Ovis aries: one gene and its partners. The protein of the gene in region 1 purifies or fractionates together with the protein of each later gene. This does not show direct contact. Links are inferred from orthologs where the notes say so. Each region holds a gene or a part of one and is shown in the gene's direction. Other genes may lie near its edges. The genes, in order: SKP2, USP18 and FOXO3.

What was found.
Region 2: the proteins of SKP2 (region 1) and USP18 purify together in Homo sapiens (affinity purification with western blotting; 4 studies listed by BioGRID and IntAct, with this or other methods). This does not show direct contact. The link is inferred for Ovis aries from reciprocal best matches to the Homo sapiens genes SKP2 and USP18.
Region 3: the proteins of SKP2 (region 1) and FOXO3 purify together in Homo sapiens (affinity purification with western blotting; 3 studies listed by BioGRID). This does not show direct contact. The link is inferred for Ovis aries from reciprocal best matches to the Homo sapiens genes SKP2 and FOXO3.

Annotation. Positions count from the first base shown.
Region 1 is NC_056069.1:38,199,459-38,202,542, reverse strand, and holds the end of SKP2 (S-phase kinase-associated protein 2), read left to right. Parts: intron 1-392; coding exon 393-606; 3' UTR 607-2,467; downstream 2,468-3,084. UniProt on the Homo sapiens protein: Substrate recognition component of a SCF (SKP1-CUL1-F-box protein) E3 ubiquitin-protein ligase complex which mediates the ubiquitination and subsequent proteasomal degradation of target proteins involved in cell cycle progression, signal transduction and transcription.
Region 2 is NC_056056.1:181,613,151-181,617,285, forward strand, and holds the start of USP18 (ubl carboxyl-terminal hydrolase 18), read left to right. Parts: upstream 1-1,229; 5' UTR 1,230-1,304; exon of another isoform or gene 1,305-1,466; intron 1,467-4,135. UniProt on the Homo sapiens protein: Interferon-induced ISG15-specific protease that plays a crucial role for maintaining a proper balance of ISG15-conjugated proteins in cells. Regulates protein ISGylation by efficiently cleaving ISG15 conjugates linked via isopeptide bonds.
Region 3 is NC_056061.1:28,920,122-28,924,301, reverse strand, and holds the start of FOXO3 (forkhead box protein O3), read left to right. Parts: upstream 1-1,305; coding exon 1,306-1,923; intron 1,924-2,016; exon of another isoform or gene 2,017-2,241; intron 2,242-4,180. UniProt on the Homo sapiens protein: Transcriptional activator that recognizes and binds to the DNA sequence 5'-[AG]TAAA[TC]A-3' and regulates different processes, such as apoptosis and autophagy.

The DNA of each region.
Region 1 (3,084 bases):
TGCTTTTCCCATCACTAGCTTGCTGGCTTCCCCTCCCAACACAGTGACATTTTTTCAGTATAAACCAAGAGTTGGTGGGGAAGGGGGTGGAATATAAACCAGGAATAGAGAAAGAAAGAAGATATGTTTGGATTTTAAATAAACCTAGGAGTTTTTCGGTTATTAGAAATTCAGTGAAATGCACTTGTGTGTTTCCTAAGGCCATATTGCCCAAGCTGTGGCCTGTGCTTTGTGGTTTGATTCACCTTTGCTATTCCCTCAAATCATTGATTGCAAATTATGTCTTCAGTTTGTTTTGTATAAAATACAGTGTGTAAAAATTGGATCATGTAACTCTAGTGGCACAGTTACCACAGATACTGCTACTCTGAAAATCTCTCCTTCCTTTCCAGTGAACTTGGAGAAATTCCCACATTGAAAACACTACAGGTCTTTGGAATTGTACCAGACGGTACCCTTCAACTGTTAAAGGAAGCCCTCCCTCATCTGCAGATTAATTGCTCCCATTTCACCACCATCGCCAGGCCGACCATTGGCAACAAGAAGAACCAAGAGATATGGGGCATCAAATGCCGGCTGTCACTGGAGAAGCCTAGTTGTCTATGAAGCCTCTATTGCAAGGTGGTGTCTCCTCTTTTCTTTGAACAGGGAAAGGAAGCAGGAAGCCCAATTGTGGAGAGCTCAGCTATTTTTATTCTTGGTTTTCTGTTGCATTCCTTCTACAAGCATATTCGAGAACCATTGAAGACAGAAAACTACGAAGTGTTTGTTGCTTTTCAGAAATGACTATGAAAGCTTTTATCACTGCTATACCTTTAAGAGCCTCAGTTCTACGCTTTTTGAAATTTTAGGGAGAGTGAGCCTATAATTTCAAGATACCTTAAATAGCAAAATTTGAACCACGTCTTCCAAGTGCCATTCTTTATAAATCTATTTAGAATCAAGCTTAAAAATCACCACCAGCAAATCATTTTCGTAGCCTATATGGCAACTGAACATTCTTCTATTTAATTTTTCAGCACTGCTTTATTATAAGACATAGGTTGCAAAAAATAATAAGCTATTTGTATTGTAAGCTGAAAAGAATGAGAATCATAGAGTAGATCTGCAGCAATCTTCTGAGGATGGCAAGAAAAACAGACATTTCAACTGCACCTTTAGATTCACAATCTGGGTGATGGAAACAAATAGCCCCAGGTCATTCACCTTAAAACCTAAGAAACAGTTGGCCAACCAGAGGTGCAGAATTGGTATAGAATTTAAAGGCTCAAGAGACAGTTTTCTATGACAGTTAACCTGGGGTATCCTCTAATGCACATTAATGAGGTCGTCTTTATGTACAGTTGGGAAGGTCCCCTGGAGGAGGAAATGGCAACCCACTCCAGTATTTTTGCCTAGAGAATCCCATGGACAGAGGAGCCTGGTGGGCTACAGTCCATGGGGTCGCAAAAAGTTGGACACGACTGAGCGACTAATATTTTATTTCCTTTATGTACTGTGTTTGCAGCGTTCTGAATTAGCTGAGGAAATTGAATTGTGGACTTCTGACTTTATGTTGACGTGGGTTCTTTAGCTTTTAAAATGACTCACTTTGTTTTAGAGAGGTAGGAACCAGTCACTTCTTTGATTCTTGAAATGTTGGATAGAATCCTGAACCACAGATGCCTGCGTTTTCCTTTTCGCTAAGGTTCTCAAAGTTATTTTTACTCTGGAATCAAGTATTTTAAATTGTCTTTTTTTATTTTATTATTTTAATGGCCTCCCACAATGATTATTTCTAGCAACTTGTTTTATAAAGTTCTGGACCTGGAGTTCCCTAAGAACTGCATGTTCCTTTCAATTAGGAATATACCCTAGAAGAAGGTGTATGTTCCGTGCAGTTTCAGAGCAATAAGCAAGCTGGCACATGCATAAAAGTTAAGACTTGGGTGCTGAACCTTTTGATAGCATAGTGGTTTTTTTTTAATGATACATAGAAGCAAAAGGACTAAATTCTACTTTTAAAAAAACATAAAACATTAACTTCTTGTTTAAATCGATGACCTTCCCGTATATTCAAAATGGAGCAAAAAACCCAAACTCATCATTTCTATTAACATTGCTTTTTTTAAAAATCAGATCTCTGAAATGTTAGAAACAATGTATGAAGTGCCCTTATCTGCTCAAACCTAAGGAAGAACATTCTTATTAAGTAGTGTTACACGGGAAATGATTAGGTTTCAATTTTGTAGTAGTTTAAAAGTGCTACATACTACTTGAAATTATTGTTTACAGATTAGTGACACAGGCTGGGAGGGAGGATCCGGTTGGCCTCTGATTTCCGGATGCCCTCACACACACAGTACTTCCAAACTCAAGTCCAGCCATAAGCTATTTTGCTAACATGTCAGAGTAATCTGTATTTTTGTATGTGATTTCTACTTTTATAGATTTGTTTTAAAATAAAACACATTTTTATAAAAATGAATACTTCAGCTAAGTTGTATTCCTTTTTTCTTTCTCTTTTTCTTAAGCACTCTGGTTAAAACAAGCATCAGGTATGGCGTGAGATTTCTCTCAGCCCTCTGAATGTGTGTGTGCTAAGTCATGTCCTACTCTTGCAACCCCATGGACTGTAGCCCACCAGGTTCCTCTGTCCTTGGGATTTCCCAGGTAAAAATATTGGAGAGGGCTGCCATTTCCTTCTGCAGGAGATCTTCCTGACCCAGGGATCAAACCTGTATCTCCTGTATTGCAGGCAGATTCTTTATCACAGAGCCACCAGGGAAGCCCCAACCCTCTAACAAGGCACTTTAAAACAAGCCGTAACATGGTCCCTTTTGCCCCATCTGCTTCATGTGTTGTCAAATTAAAATGTTTATAATTCTTTGTATGGTTAAAGTGCTTCTTAAAGTATTAACATACTTTATAAGACATTTGAGATTAAGTGATAAGTACCATCAATAAAGTATCAAGTACTATCAATAAAAATCAGCTCGTAGCACTTTTTAAATACAGACTTGATCAGCTTATACTGTGCATTTTATTCTCATTAGCAGATCATTTGAATAGTTTACCCTATATCCAGAGATCTAGGAATTAACT
Region 2 (4,135 bases), on another chromosome or scaffold:
GGTGGCAGTGGGAATTAGGGTTAAGACCCTCTGGAATCCTGGCTTCATCCCTTGTAATCTTGTGACCTTAGTGAAGTCACTTAACCTCTTTTTTTTTTTTTTTTTTTGCTGTGGGCCATTTTTAATGTGTTTTATCATTTCTGTTTTATGTTTTTGTGTTTTGGCCGTGAGGCATGTGGGATCTTAGCTCCCCAACCAGGGAGACCAGGGACCAAACCAGACCCCCTGCTTTGGAAGGGGAAATCTTAACCACTGGACCATCTGCGAAGTCCCACTTAGCCTCTCTGAAAATTAGTATCCGCGCCTATAAAACTGAAATAAAAATGGGGCCTCTATTAGGAACCTGTCATATAGACTGAATTAGGTTTAGAGCTTAGCAGGGATGGCACCCCACTCCAGTACTCTTGCTGGAAAATCCCATGGATGGAGGAGCCTGGTAGGCTATAGTCCATGGGGTCGCTAAGAGTCAGACATAACTGAGCGACTTCACTTTCACTTTCGCTTTTCACTTTCGTGCCTTGGAGAAGGAAATGGCAACCCACTCCAGTGTTCTTGCCTGGAGAATCCCAGGTACGGCGGAGCCTGGTGGGCTGCCGTCTATGGGGGTCGCACAGAGTCGGACACGACTGAAGCGACTTAGCAGCAGCAGCAGCAGCAGCAGCAGCAGCAGCAGCAGCAGCAGCAGCAGCAGCAGCAGCAGCAGGGAGCCTGGCATTTCTCAGGGACCCAGTGTACGTGAGGGTCTAAGGTGGAACAGTTCACTTTCTGTTCCCCACCAGCTCTGCGTCACAGCGGGTTCCCCGTCCCCGCCCCCGCGCCACCCCAGGGGCACCAGAGGACAGCGGGCTTCGTCTTGCATCTATCTACCGTCTGTCATCGAATCTACAAGCCAGACAATTTTAAGATACCCAATTTAAGAAATTAGATCATTGCTTCAAGAAAGAAAAAAAATGCTGCCACGTGTATTACGAAATGCCAAACGATTGTAAAACACCTCCGAATGACTACGGAGATCTTAAAATGTCCAAACAAGAGCTCACTCTAGGAACCAGTTTAGGCCGTGTTCTGCAGACAGCGCGCACGTTTAAACGCGAAACCAACTGCGGGGGCACGGACTTCGTGCTCACTAGCGCTTCCTCCGCTGAGTTTCGCTTTCAGTTCGCAGGAAACGAAAGCCTAGCGCCAGGGCGGGGGCAGGGACGGGGCGGGGACGGGGCGGGGACGGGGGTATGGGCGGGGACAGAGGTCCTGATGCAAGGGCGCCCGTCCGCGGCGACCCAGAGGGCCAGAAGTAGGGAACCGAGGTGAGTAGGGAGGCGCGGGGACAGCCGGGGGGGACCGAAGTGGACGAACCGGGCGTCGCCCGCTGCGCCAGCCCCGCAGCCTCCTGGAGGGCCCCACACTGTGGCTGTACTTCCCCCACGTTCGACTTGGCAGCGCGGGTCTGAAGCTTCGCGGCTCTTAAGGCAAGTTTGGTGGTGAAGATAAGGCGGGGCTCTGCTCATTGCCTCGTGGATACTGATGGGATTTATTTGGGCTCCGCGGATTATAATAATGGCCTGTATTCGTTAATAGGTGTATTGGATCGATGCAGTTTTCTCACGCTGATGTATTGATTTAGACTTTTTTTTTTAATTTTACTTTATTTTACATTACTGTATTGGTTTTGCCATACATCAACATGAATCCCCCACGGGTGTACATAAGTTCCCAATCCTGAACCCCCTCCCACCTCCCTCCCCATACCATCTCCTTGCATGACTTTAATTAATGAAGAAATTGCAAAACTGTCGAAGTTTGTAAAAAAAATTCCAAAAAATGCAGACAAACCTGAGATAGAAATAAGGTTTCTTTTAATCCTCAACTCGCTATCATTTTATTGGTTACCTAGCCAGAAATTTTTATATGTACAACTCCAAAATTGCTCTGTAAATTTGCTTTCCCCCCACCTAACAGTATATTATGGACATCTTTCCATGGCAAGAGATACAGTAGGTCCACCTCATTTTAAAAACTGGTGAAAAATATGAGAGGTACGTCTTTCTATTTAAACACTTCATGGACATTTGGGTTCTTTCCTGTTTTTAGCGGTATGGATGATACAACAGTATCATTTATAGTCACAGTTGTGTGAATATATAAGCATATTTGTGGAGAGTTCCTATAAGTAGAATTGCTGGGTCAGTGGGCATACAAACTGAAAAATTTGAAAGATTTTGTTAAATTGTTCAAATCAGAATATTTTAGTCTGAATTTAGACCTTTAAACCTAAAACTCTATGACCTCTGAAAATCTGGACCTAAACGTGTTCTGAAAATTAAAGTAGAGCCTTTACTTTCATGCCTTACAGCACTGAGGTAGCTATACTTTGAAATCATTGAAATAGGGGCACATATTTAAAATATTTCTTTTTGGTGGCTCAGACAGTGAAGAATCTTCCTGCCATGCGGGAGACCTGGGTTTGTTTGATCCCTGGGTTGGGAAGATCCCCTGGAGAAGGAAATGGCAACCCACTCCAGTATTCTCACCTGGAGAATTCCATGGACCTGGGAACCTGGTGGGCTGCAGTCCACAGTGTCACAAAAGAGTCAGACATGACTGGGTCACAAAAGAGTCAGACTTGACTGAGTGACTGATACATACTTTCCATTTGGTGTTACATTGTGAGGGTGAGGTGGGGGCTTCAGCCTGGACATTTGGGAGGTCTCCTGTGCTCATAGGAACCAGACAGGCCATCAGCTAACAGTTACACAGCTTCATCCTGTTTTTTGGATCTCTATCAAGGAACTGGGGAAAAAAAGAAAACCTTTAATTTTTTTAAACCAATAAAAATTCGGTGCACAGTATGGATGCTTTTATATTAAATATAGTGATGAGCTTGCAAAGAGGTTTCATCTGGAGTGTTCCAGTCATTGTGCCCAGCGCATTACCGTTACTGGAGCAGCACACACCAACATGAAATACGAGATCTGGATCTGTTGCCATGATGGGTTGCTTTTGGACTGTGAGGCTTGCATCACACACAGTCCAGGCATGTAGGTTTTGATCCTCTTTGGGCATTTAAGGACGGAGTTGGTTTTCCTTGCAGAGAGTCTATTAGTGAGTGAAGAGCCCAGTTAGCACCCGGGGCCAGCCCAGGTTTCCTATGTCGAGTCTTAGGCTGTTTCTCTGAAGTCTCTGGTTGTTTCTGTGGCTGCAGTGGTGGCTAGTCTAAGCCAGCTGTTTCTGTCCTTCACATCTCCCATTTATAAGTGTAAAAATTTTAGAAAGAGTGGGTTGTTAGTTTTGTTCTTTGGAACCTAAGATTTTATTAAATAGGAGACTATTTTTCAGAGCAATTTTAGGTTCACAGCAAAATTGAGTACACAGAGTTCCTATATACCTCCTGCCCCTCCAGCCTCCTCCACTGTAAACAGTTTGTTACAATTTATGAACGTAGGTCATTATCATGTAAAGTCTGTGCTTTACATTAGGGTTCATTGTTTTGTGCATTCTATGAATTTTGACAAATGTATAATGGCATGTATCGACCATGTATCAGACAGAATAGGAATAGTCTCACTGCCCTAAGAATCCTGTTTTGGAGCCCATTTTTCAGTCAGGCATTGAGTTTGAAAATTCAGCATCCTTAAAAATATTCCTCAAAATATATCCATTCTCCTTTCCCCCGTCACCACTTGCTTAGCTCACTTTCCCCATCCTCCTCAGATCTTTAAGTTTCGCTTTCCTCTCTTTTTTGCCCCACCTACCTATCTCCTCTATGACTACCTTTGAAGTTTCCTGCCTTTCTCTGTTGACTCTTTGGGATCTGGCCTCTCACCTCTCCAGATGATTCCTCTACTGGGTTTTACCATCTTATTTTCAAGGTCTGGCAGACTGCAGAGTAAGTATCTCTGGAAAACAGGCTGATCCCTTCCTACTGTTTCATCAGATTTCCTTTGATGTGGTCTCAAAGTCCTAGGTTTTGCTCATGGAATTGTCAACTGCCATCTTTTCTTTGTCAGTTTAACTTTTATAGGTTGATCCTCATTAGAGGAATAACTTTATGACTATTGAAAATATTTGCTAAGAAAAGAGAGAGTGTTATCTGAGCCATTTAACATGAGCCTGTTAATTATGCCACTTATATTTAGCA
Region 3 (4,180 bases), on another chromosome or scaffold:
TCATCGTGCCCCAGGCCCGCGCGGGATTGTGCGTCCTCCCCCCTCGTCCCTGAGGGGAAGGAACCGAGGTAGGCGCCGGAGCTGTGAGCGGGTCGACCGCCTTCCCGGCGACTCCGGATCTGCTTCTGAGCTGGGCCAGGCGCTTCCCTTTTCCCTCCCCGTGACTCGGTGTGCGCGCCCCTCTTCTCTCCCGCTAGTGTTTTTAAAGGACTTGAGTGAAGGGGGGGAAACTGTCAAGATGGCAGCAGCGGGAGCAAGGAGGTGAAGAACGTGCTGGTCTGAGCTTTCTGGCGGCCCGGGAGACTTGGTGCTTCCTGACCTGTTGGAAGATTTACGTTCCGACTTGCCCCCTTCTCCCGTTCTTCACTGGGAAGGGGGTGTAAGGCACAACGCCCGTGGGAGAATAAGCCTCACAAACCCCGAAAGTGGCCGTTGCCGCTCGGCTCGACCCTTGGCAAATACCCACCGAGCTGCTTGCCCTCCTTTTTCCCGGCTTCCCCTTTTTCTGGAAGTGACAAGGGCCTGTTTGCGCTCGGACCCACGCTTGCCCTCTCAGCCCGCGGGCAGAGAGGGAAATAAGGAGCTTCCCGCGCCGTCCCCGGGCTCGAGCCCTCCGCTGGGAGGGGGTGGCAGAGGGGCGCGGAGGCAGCAGGGCCGGGGACTGGAAGAAGAGCCGAAGACGCCACAGACTTTGGCGGCGGCGTCGCGGGAAGCACTTGAGCGGGCCCGAGCGAAACATAAACAAACGCACGCCCGCCCGCCCGGACTCGGGCTCGGACCGCAGCTGGGCTGCGCCAGCGCCGGCTGCTGCCCGCTTTAAAGGCGCGGCCCGCGCCCCTCCCCCGCCCCGCCCCTCCCCCTTCTTCCCCGCCCAGCCACCTAGCCCAGGAGAGACCTGCAGCTCCGGCGGCGGCGGGGGAGGGGGTGCCCCGTGCGAGCCCGTCGATTCGCTCCCGTCTCCCCAGCGGCCTGGTCTGGGGGCGGCGTCTGCTGCGCCAGGTTCGCGGGACGCACGTCTCCAGGTCTGCCTGCTCCTGGGAGGCGGGCGCGGTGCGGTCGCGAAGCGGTGGCGGCGGCGACGGCGGGCGAGGACTCGCCGAAGACTGGGTTCCAGCCCGGGATAACCAACTCTCCTTCTCTCTCCTCTCGTGCTTCCCCAGGCGGCGGCTGTAGCGGCGGCGGCGGCGGCGCCGCCTGGGAGCCCGAGCCTTCTCGGCGCCCCCGTCCCTCCCCCGCCGCACCCCGCCCCGGCGCGAGAGGAGAGCGCGAGAGCCCGAGCCGCGGGCGGGCGGGCGGGCGGCGAAGATGGCAGAGGCGCCGGCCTCCCCGGCCCCGATCTCTCCGCTCGAAGTGGAGCTGGACCCGGAGTTCGAGCCCCAGAGCCGGCCGCGCTCCTGTACGTGGCCCCTGCAGAGGCCGGAGCTCCAGGGGAGCCCGGCCAAGCCCTCTGGGGAGGCGGCTGCTGACTCCATGATCCCCGAGGAGGAGGACGATGAAGACGACGAGGACGGTGGCGGTAGGGCCGGCTCGGCCATGGCGATCGGCGGCGGCGGGGGCGGCCCGCTGGGCTCTGGGTTACTCCTGGAGGACTCGGCCCGGCTCTTGGCTCCTGGAGGGCAGGACCCCGGGTCCGGGCCAGCCCCCGCGGCGGGCGCGCTGAGCGGGGGAACGCAGACACCGCTGCAGCCTCAGCAGCCACTGCCACCGCCGCAGCCGGGGACGGCTGGGGGCTCCGGGCAGCCGAGGAAATGCTCGTCGCGGAGGAACGCCTGGGGGAACCTGTCCTACGCCGACCTGATCACTCGCGCGATCGAGAGCTCCCCAGACAAACGGCTCACTCTGTCCCAGATCTATGAGTGGATGGTGCGCTGCGTGCCCTACTTCAAGGATAAGGGCGACAGCAACAGCTCTGCCGGCTGGAAGGTGCGTACCCACCTGGGGCGGGCGGCCGGACCCGCCGGGCCTCCTGCGCAGTGCGAGGCGCGTCTTCGATTCGACGGAGCGCTCCTGAGGGCGCGGGGGAGAGGGGTTGGCAGGGAGAGCCTCCGCTGTGAGGTTTTGGGGGTTTTGTGTGATCCCGGAGGAGGGGCAACCGGGGACGGCCGCGAAGGTGGCAGGAGAGAAGGCTCCTGGGGAAACCTCAGGCATGGCCAGGTGAGGCGAGGGGTTGAGGGACACCGGCGAGGGAAGGACAGACGGACCGGAGTGAATTTGCCGGATTCCTGGGTCATCGCAGAGAAGGTAGGTCTGCGGCCAACTTGGGAGTAGAAGTCCCCCATCGTGGGGGTGCGGCGAGGCCACTACGGGGGGAGTGAGGGAACGGGTTGGGAGGAGTGGATTTGTGGTTTTAAGTCAGTCGCTGAAGCGTGGTGTGTTGTGACTACCTGGATGAGAACCCTTGTGCCCAAGTTTTCGGGCTTGTGGGGTTTTCGCTCCCACAGGCACATCAATCCAATTACAAAAAGCGGTGGTTGTAAACCTCTTCCTGGCCGGTTTCCTTTCCTTGCCTGTGTCCACACCTCTGTTCTTCAGAGATGTCTCTACAGCAGGTAGCTTCTGAGGTGCTTTGGGGCCTGGCACGGGCCAGCCCTTTTACCTCAGCGGGGACTCGCTGCACCTGCTGGCTTCTGCGCAGAGGTCCGGATTCTGGCGCTGTTTGAGGCAGAGGGTCCAGGTGCCCAGGACCCGCGCCTGGCGCCTCACCTGGGCCTTGGGGAGGGAGGTTTGCTGGCAGGGCTGGACCGTAATGGCTTCTACCTGTAAGTGAACCTGAAGAGAGGCTCTCTACTGTTCGTTTTCAGCCTCTTGGGGCACTGGACACGTGGTAGGGAGAGAGGTGTGGAAAGGCCTATGATGTAATGACTTCCTGCAATTGGGCATCCAAAGAGATTAACTCCTGTGCCCCTGCTGGGCCGCTGATACCCAGCGGCTTTGCTCTTGCACCTCATCCTCCTGGCCACATCTCCCAAGACAGGAATGCATACCAGGCTAAAGGGAGCCCTGTGCAGCTGTAGACACATATCTTTCTGTCTGTTGCTTCTAGTAACAAGTTGGATTTTTTTTTTTTTTTTAATTAAAAAGGTGGTTGCTTCCTCCTTCTGTCCCTTCCTTTGTTGTCTTTGGGGAGCTCTGTACTTCCTAGATTCCAGTGGGTGTATAAAATAAGAACAGTTTGACCTTAGGTGGAGAACTGAAGCACTGGAGAGGAGCTAGTACATGAAAAAGCTAAAGAATTTAGTGTCATTGACTTTTAATTTGGTTTAAAAAAATCTTGAAATATGCCTTAAAATTTTTTTATGCTTAGTATAGGGAAAGGGTTTGATACTTTAAAAGGAAAACAAGTGCTTTGATATTGTTCCACAAATCTATCTCATCCTTGAACAAACGCTGTTATTATGAATCTTAGGTTCGATTCAGTTGTATTGCTTTGCAAAAGAATGCCAGTTTTGTGATAATAGGATATTTATGAAAAGGATGAGAATTCTGTTTCAAAGCAGTGCTGATGTGATACTTTTAAAAATTGAGTTTTCAAGTGGATAGCAAGGGTTGATCTCAGTGTATAGTGTTAGGAAGGGATGAATTTGTGGGATCTAAGAAGATGGATTGGGTGGGGTGTGGAGTCTTTTCCAAATTTCTCACACTTGAAATTTAGTCCTACAAATTTTGGATTTGGTGCAGAGAATCTGTTAGTTAAAAGTTAGCTTTAAGTTAGTTAGAAAGTTAACATAGCAAGGGTTTTCACCTTTTTTATGATTTTTAAGGTTATGAAAGTAGTTTTCCATAAGTAATATTTCTTGCATCATGTTTATGGTTAAAGATAATACCAGTTTATGGCATTTGAAAGTTTTTTTTTAAGACTTATGTGGGAAAGTGTGGCTACCAAAAATAACCATGAATTGATACTGAATTTATTATATTTTCACGTAGCTTACAGGATCTGCAATAGAGATTTGGGGCCTAGTCTTAAACTTCGTGGTTTTATATCTTAACTCTTTTTGGTCTCATGGTTTGTTTTTTCCTTCTCTGCTATCTCATTTTTCTTTAACTAAAATCTTATGAAGCATTATAAATTGAAACTGTCCAGCAGTCATATGTTTAATACTGGGTGCATATTTTATGAATATTTTATCTTTAAAATTTTACACCAGGTCCATTTCTGATTATCGCATGATAACTAATC